Styela clava: one gene and its partner. The protein of the gene in region 1 binds, or shares a complex with, the protein of each later gene. Links are inferred from orthologs where the notes say so. Each region holds a gene or a part of one and is shown in the gene's direction. Other genes may lie near its edges.

Evidence for each region. Proteins that work in one complex are often made in the same cells at the same time.
Region 2: the proteins of (E3-independent) E2 ubiquitin-conjugating enzyme UBE2O-like (region 1) and nucleosome assembly protein 1-like 1 are in contact, whole or in part, in a cryo-EM structure (PDB 7UN6), measured with the Homo sapiens proteins. The link is inferred for Styela clava from reciprocal best matches to the Homo sapiens genes UBE2O and NAP1L1. Residues at the interface, in NP_071349.3 of Homo sapiens: Ser225, Asn226, Val282, Lys283, Pro284, Val285, Lys289, Ser290, Lys291, Phe292, Arg293; in NP_001317160.1 of Homo sapiens: Arg333, Arg337, Thr343, Gly344, Glu345, Ala346, Ile347, Asp349.

The regions. Positions count from the first base shown.
Region 1 is NC_135256.1:11,167,663-11,171,420, reverse strand, and holds the start of (E3-independent) E2 ubiquitin-conjugating enzyme UBE2O-like, read left to right. Parts: upstream 1-1,153; 5' UTR 1,154-1,313; intron 1,314-1,321; exon of another isoform or gene 1,322-1,456; coding exon of another isoform or gene 1,457-2,599; intron 2,600-3,758. Other genes in the region: uncharacterized protein LOC120339753, read left to right, coding at 1,457-2,599. UniProt on the Homo sapiens protein: E2/E3 hybrid ubiquitin-protein ligase that displays both E2 and E3 ligase activities and mediates monoubiquitination of target proteins. Negatively regulates TRAF6-mediated NF-kappa-B activation independently of its E2 activity.
Region 2 is NC_135257.1:697,517-701,274, forward strand, and holds the start of nucleosome assembly protein 1-like 1, read left to right. Parts: upstream 1-1,076; 5' UTR 1,077-1,131; coding exon 1,132-1,261; intron 1,262-2,071; coding exon 2,072-2,174; intron 2,175-2,541; coding exon 2,542-2,683; intron 2,684-3,404; coding exon 3,405-3,521; intron 3,522-3,758. UniProt on the Homo sapiens protein: Histone chaperone that plays a role in the nuclear import of H2A-H2B and nucleosome assembly.

The DNA.
Region 1 (3,758 bases):
TTTGTTCCGCATGTGCAGATTGATGCCTAAATCAAAAGTTGAATTTTTGATGCGTATCCAAGATATTTTGTAGAGGAAATAGAACATTCATTTTGAATAATTCTGGTGCTTAATTTTTCAATATGGATTTAAATTCTACAATTAATGAACATCACTACTTGGTTTAGCCATGAATTTCAATCCAGTTTTAATTGTTTACATTGGTGGACAAACATGCAATACCATTTATATATGTAATTCACATTTTATTTTGTCTTTATAATTATGATATGTTGTTAAAAAATCGTCAATATCTGTCTGACGGGACAAGACTGAGAAATGAGGGAGGTGGTGTATGCTATAGGTTGCCCATAGAGGTGGGAAAAAGTCTGGCAGGACAATATAGCTGTTCATTTAGAATAGAATGGCAATAAAATCACGAGCTTTTACCATTTGTTAGGTACGATTAAATAAGAACTAAAAGTTTGCCTCATCTCCCTGAACAACTGCACTGTTTTTTGGTAGCGCAGTTTTGTTGAAAGATCAAATTTATATTAGCAAACTAAATATTTTTGCATCGGTTTCACCAATGTGTGTTTATTTAGACTCCATAATCGGCATAAAAGACGAGAAAAAAAAAAGATAAAATCAGGATAGAACTGATTACAGACGGAATCAGGGAAGCCAACAAAACCTTAGTAAGATTCAAAACGTGCAAGATAGATGTTGGATTGAAAGAAGTGGTACATGTTCGCTTTAGACCCGTGCGGAAGGAAGAAACGCAAGATGAGAACATTCAAACTTTTTTGTTTACTGGAAGTATATATAGTAGCGCACGTTAGTCGTTGGTAGCGCACGAAGTCTTTAGCTTCGGTGTATCGAGGTTTTATATATATATATATATATATATATATATAAACAGTTTGGGAATACGCTATGACCCCGGCGAAGCTGAGGAAGAAATTTCCATCATAGACAGCGACCATTTTTAAATCTATTAATAAATAAACCTATCAACATATATGTCTAATAAAACTCAAGTTTCTAACTGTTGCCCACATATTTAACATCTTGAGTAGTTGATATCTAAAATTGAACCTGTTTGCCAGCTTATTTGAGCGGCGGTGAACTTCTGAATTTAAATAGGAGAAATTAATGTTCGCCACCATGCGACGCGGTTTGATTGACTTTGTTTGATTGTGTTGCTGGGATTTCCCCGAGTACATGCGGCGAACGACAGTTCGCGCTCGACTTTTGTCTTCATTGCAGGGTGTTTGTTGAGCAATCGTATTCAAAACGAAAAGCAGTGATCTAACTATCGAAATTCACAAAGACTTTTCTGTTCATCGGTCGAAAGTCGCAGTCAAGTCAAGTCAAGTCTCCGTTTAAGGATTTTGATTAAGTTTAACTATAATTAGTATCTAAATTATAACTTTAATAAAATCCTGTTGTTGAAAGTGTGAAACGATGTCCGAAGATGTCTCTATACTCTGAGAAACTGAAACAGAATCGTAAAAAAGATGAGGAGGAGAGAAACACATTAGACAGAACGAAGTGCATGGCATTGAAATTTAATGATGAAAAAGTAATTCGAAGAGAAGATATATGGCAATTTTTTAGAAAACTGAATATTGTATTCGACACTGTGGACGGATTTGTACTTACGTCCAGGTACACGGTGGACTTAACATTTAAAACAAGAGCAACAGCTATTGATGTGGATAAGAAATTATGGGAGCTTAAAAAAGTAGGTGCAGAAACACTTCCTTTTCATAGACTTTATGTACCGGAAAATGTGGCAGTATTCGTACACAATGTGCCATGCCCAATGGAAAATAAAGAAATTAAAGAACACTTTGAAGAAAATCACGGAACAATAGGAGAAGTACTTATATTGAAAGATAGGTTCAACATGAAAAATGGCATACGAAGATTTTTTATAAAAAAAGACGATTTAATGAAAAAACCAATTCAAAGTTACGTAAAATTAAAAGGACATTCACTTTTTGTCAGATATTGGGGGCAGACCCCAACATGTCGTATTTGTGGCAAAGCTGGCCATATAATGAATAATTGTGAATATTTCATTCCAAAATTAGAAAGATATAAAGACACAGGACAAAGATCACCGAATCCAGAACAGACCAAAGTTGACGAAACTGAAAAGGAAATAGACAATGAAGCTAAAAAGATTACCAAACAAGTAGAAAAAAACAAAATTGATAATACTGAAAATAACATTAGTAAAAAACAATTGATAAATGATAATCCAACCCAGAGCACTCCCGCGAACGAAATTAGTGAAGATCACAGTGAGAAATCATCCATAAGTCCAACCCTTTTGCCAGAAATGTTTGGAAATATGTCTGACATCAGTGAGGATAATAGTGAGATAATTACATTGAATAAAGAAGAGGAAATGCAATCCAATACAGCAGAAAAAACAATTTTGTATTTGTTAGAACCTCATACACAAAACCAAGGTGAAAATTCACAGTTAACCGTGGACAAGTCTTCTTCTATTGAAAGGTCACCACCAAGAAAAAAGAAAACATCTAGAAAACAAAAGATAATGACTATGAAAGAAGCTAAAGATTATATACACAATATGAGTGAATAAAGTTGTTGTTAAAACGTCAAATCTACTTTTAAAAAAAAAAACAAGAAAAAGAACTCTCACAATGGTAATTTATTTGACGATTCTCACACTTAATGTTAATGGCCTTAGAGACAATCAAAAACGTAGAGATGTATTCTTCGAATTATCAAAAAAAAAGGCAGATATAATTTTTCTCCAAGAGACACACTGCACTACCGATGTTGAACTAACATGGCGTAGAGAATGGAGACATGGCACCAGCATATGGAATAATGGTAATTCAAACTCGAGAGGGGTAGCTATATTACTAAAATCAAAGATGTCAAGTTTTTCGTTTTATAATGTCACATTCGACAACGATGGAAGAGTTCTTACTGCTGAAGTGGATATACATGGTGAAAAAATTCATTTGGTTAATATTTATGCCCCTTGTCGAACTAACATTAGAATACAGGAAAATTTTTACAACGGTATTTACAGATTCCTATATTCTCAACATGCAACAGTTTTTGGTGGTGATATGAACTGTGTTCATGATATAGATAAAGATAGAACAAGTAATAAAAGAGCCAAGAAAGAATATGTGTCTGAAGCATTGAATGACCTTGTAGAAACTTTTAACTTGATCGATTCTGTGGATTTCCTTTCTCATAGTAATACCTTCTATACCTGGAGAAATAACACAATACAAGCCAGATTAGATCGTTTATATTGTTCTCATAGGCTATGTCATATAACCAACATATATTGTTCACCAACATATAACTCGGATCATGACATGTACTCGGTCGATATTCAGATTATTAGTAAATTGGAAGAAAAGGGACACGGATTTTGGAAAAATAATGTTTCAGTCTATAATAACCAAAGTTTTATTGAAGACTTCCAGAACAAATGGAATAGTTGGTGCACATTAAAAGTTTTATTTGATACAAAAACTCAATGGTGGCAAGAAATAAAGAAAAAGATTAAAGATTTGGTGATCAAACATTCAATTAAAATAGCATGGGAAGCAAAAGCTGAATATAATAGAGGGATGAAACAATTGGAAGAATTGAAAGAAAGATTAGATAGAGGAGATAAAGTGTTGACTACATTCAATAAATTAAAAAAAGAATTGATTTCAAAACAAAGACAAAAAAGTGAAAAAATTAGAATTTTAAACTTAGCACAACATTAT
Region 2 (3,758 bases), on another chromosome or scaffold:
CTAACCCCCACCTGACTGGGCCATCCAAGAATTACGTCACTACGACGTCACCATAACATCATAGGGATTGCCAAAGTATAATTACGATCGCCCGAAATGACATCTGCGCCGCCGATAACGAACTTGCTAAAGCCGGCGATCTCTCTCCTATTGTGATCGTTGTGACGAGAAAACGGGAGAAATTGATTGCTCGATTTCGGGTGATCGTCTGCGCGTTTCGGACGACCATCCGCATACTTCGGTGGGCCTTATTACGCCACTGCTGCACTGTGACGAAATGGCGTAATTTTTCGGTGACGTAGTCAGGTGGGGGTTAGGATTGACATATGCAAAAATTGTTGAGCCAGGTCAACTAGAAGTACATGTGGTACTAAACTATACCAGACCCGTACTTTTTTGACTGTTAAATTACATGTTTCTACAAAATCTGCTCCAATTTATTTGAAATTTTACAGTAAATAGCAAAATCTTTTGTACGAGAATTTCTATACCGTTCATAAATGAAGGAATTGTTTTTCAAGTTTTTAATTTGAATCAAAAAAGAAACTTCAGTTTCATAAACTTATTAAAAAATAGGGGGCTTATTAATAGGTTGCTAATATGCTCTAATGGGTCTGAGATTGTATACCGAAATTGTTTTAAGCGTGATTCAATCTGAATACTGAGATATCTAAATCAGGGTTACCCAAACTGGGGGGCGAGGGGTCGAGCGGCAAATTTTAGGGGTCACGAAGGGCACACCAATTTCACACAAAGTTTGATATTTATTGAAACTAGTGCAAAACATAATTCTCACGATTTCGAATATGATCAGAGTAGCGGTGCGCTTGCATAACAATGCCGATTTTGATTGTTAGACCAGAGAAGTGGCGTGTTTCCAAATCAACCGTGGGCTGCACAGAAGTATCTAGCGGGTCGTATGCGGCCCGGGGGCCGTATGTTGTGCAGGCCTGCACAGCAAATTTTGCAAAAAGATAAGTGGCAAGTGTTAATTAGATTTAGTGATCAAACTATTACTTCACAGAATCTCTAACACATGTAATAATGTTTTTCAAACTTTATATTATGTAAATACAGAAATAGCTTTTGCTGGTTTTGATAGTTCATAGTTCATAAAATATTTACAACAACATGTCATCAGGAGATGCGAAAACATCTGATAAAGATGTTGTGGAACACGATGAGGAAAAACCGGAGACAGAAGTTGATGATGAATCAGCTACTTTGAATGCAGATGAAACGCCACAGTCGATGCCTTCAGGTAAATATGTAAATCATTGTTGAAAATGACACTGAAATTTTATGTTGTGTTTTAAAGTGTATGTCCCGAAGGATATGAATTTTGATTGTTCCTTAAAAGCTGCCTTTGAAGCAATTGCAGTTTCAAGTATTTCGTGGCGTCTGAAGCTGCCACAAAACCATGGCGACTGACTTTGTAGCTGCCACAAACCAGTGGGGAGCTGCTGTTACCACGGCAGCAAATTGAAAACCAACTGCAGATAAAATTTTGCTGCCGTAACCACGGCATGTCGGCTGTAATGGCAGGGCTGCCCCTGATGGTAATAAATAAGAACTGCGCCTCCTTTGTAGGGTGAAAATTGGTGCCATTGTTCTTTCGCTGAATATTTCAAAACGAAAGCTATTTTGATATAATTGTGATTATGATCTCATTCTGAATTTTCCCCATCAAGTTTACCATAAATGTCTGATATAAGGATCTTAAATATTAATTACAAGCCAATAAGCTCAGGCTTTCACCTTTCCTCTATTCAACAAATACTTTGTCACCGTTAGTTGAGTTGATAAAATTTATTGTAAATGTAATCTGATGTTGAATGGTTTAATATCTGTATTATTGAAATTGTTCAGATAAGGGAATATAGCTTTTCTGATGAATATCCTTGGACTTGGTTGATTTATCCCATATCATCCCCGTCATCTTCAACTTCTTTAATAATGAAAAATTAAGAAAAAATTACATTTAAAAAGGAATCATCGGAAAGCATATTTTCAATTTTATACTTCTCATAAAGTTTATCATAATTTGGCATGTTTTGTATTTTTTTTTCAGCAAGTCAAATAACCGCAGAGATGATGCAGAATCCACAGGTTTTAGCTGCTTTACAAAATCGAATCGAAGATATGGTTGGAAATTCATCAGGATATATTGAAAGGTACGGTATGTTAAAAAGTGTAAATGACCCTGGAAAGATGCTTTTTTCAAAGAATCGGGGTATATCTACTTTTCAATGTATTCGAATGTATGTATGTTTGCAATTTGTGTTGCGAGGTATCAAAGGACCGATGCTTCAGTTAGTTGCCATCGGAAATGTTTTGCTACCTATGCACTTCTATTAAAATTGCTGTGCTGTGTTTTGGGGTGCTGAATTTTCAAGAGCATTTAATTTCTTTATATTCTTGTAGGCCATTGTAGAATATAAATTTGATAAAATAAATAGGTTTATTACATAGCCTACATTCCAATCATTGGAAAAATTTTCATTTCAGTTATTTTAATTTCATTTTGCTGTAATTTTTCAGCCTCCCTAAAGTAGTGAAAAGACGGATACATGCCTTGAAAAATCTTCAAGTCAAGTCAATGAATATTGAATCAAAATTTTTTGAGGAAGTCCATGAATTAGAAAGAAAATATATGGCGATTTATGCACCATTATTTGATAGGGTAAGTTTTTTTTTGTTTATATGAACTCCTTGCAAAATGAAAAGATTCAAGATAGTTCAGAAGTTTGCATTGCAGAGATTTTGCATTGGCATAGCCCACCTAATTTGTTCCATATTTGTTTGCTTGATTCTATTTTATTAAAAATTTCAATTTGAAAATTTTCGATTGGTTATGAACTTAGAGATATTTAAACCACGGATAAAATATAATTGCTTTTTGATCAGGTACTAATATAAATGTTTTCTATAAAAAAGGTAACAATTCCATTGAATTATTTTTTTTTTTGTAGTTTGGCTTATAAATAGTGCAGGTTTGTTCAAAACAAATCTAATATTCTAATATATAATTCACTCAGTGTATGTTTGTAATCGAAAATACTTTTATAAACACCTCATTAAATGCTGTTTGGAAGATTGGACTATTATTAAAATAATCATGTTTCCATTATCTAATTCCTAAATAGTGGAGATTAGTATCATATATTATATTATATATAGTATTATATACAGTTTACTATAACACTACTTAACTCATTGCAGGAAGCCACTTGTTATTATACGTCAATAATAGAACTGTCGTTATTGTTGTAAGACTCCAAACGATGTCATCCTATCGTGGGCTGCTAAATAAGCAGATGTTAGGAATCTCTTTTATAGACAGTTGTCATGTACATTACAGTTGTTTTCAATTAAATGTTTTTCCAATCATTTGACCTTTTCAGAGGAGAGACATTATTCAGGGAGAAATTGAGCCGACTGATTCAGAGTGTGAGTGGCATAGTGAGGATGAAGAAGAAGACGAAAATACTAAAGAAAATAAGAAAAATAAAAATGAAGAGGTGAGAGCAACAATATTTTATATCGCAATACAAGATATTATTTTCATATTACAATTTTTTGCTAATTGGATATTATTAACAAATGTTCAATGTCGATATATAAGTTTGATAATTAGTGATATAATACATTCAAAACCATTGGAATCAATTGGTAATCAGAAATGCTGAAATCAGCTTCACTATCCACTCATCTCTCAACACTGAAATTGATCAAGTTCATGCCATTTCTATGCAGTC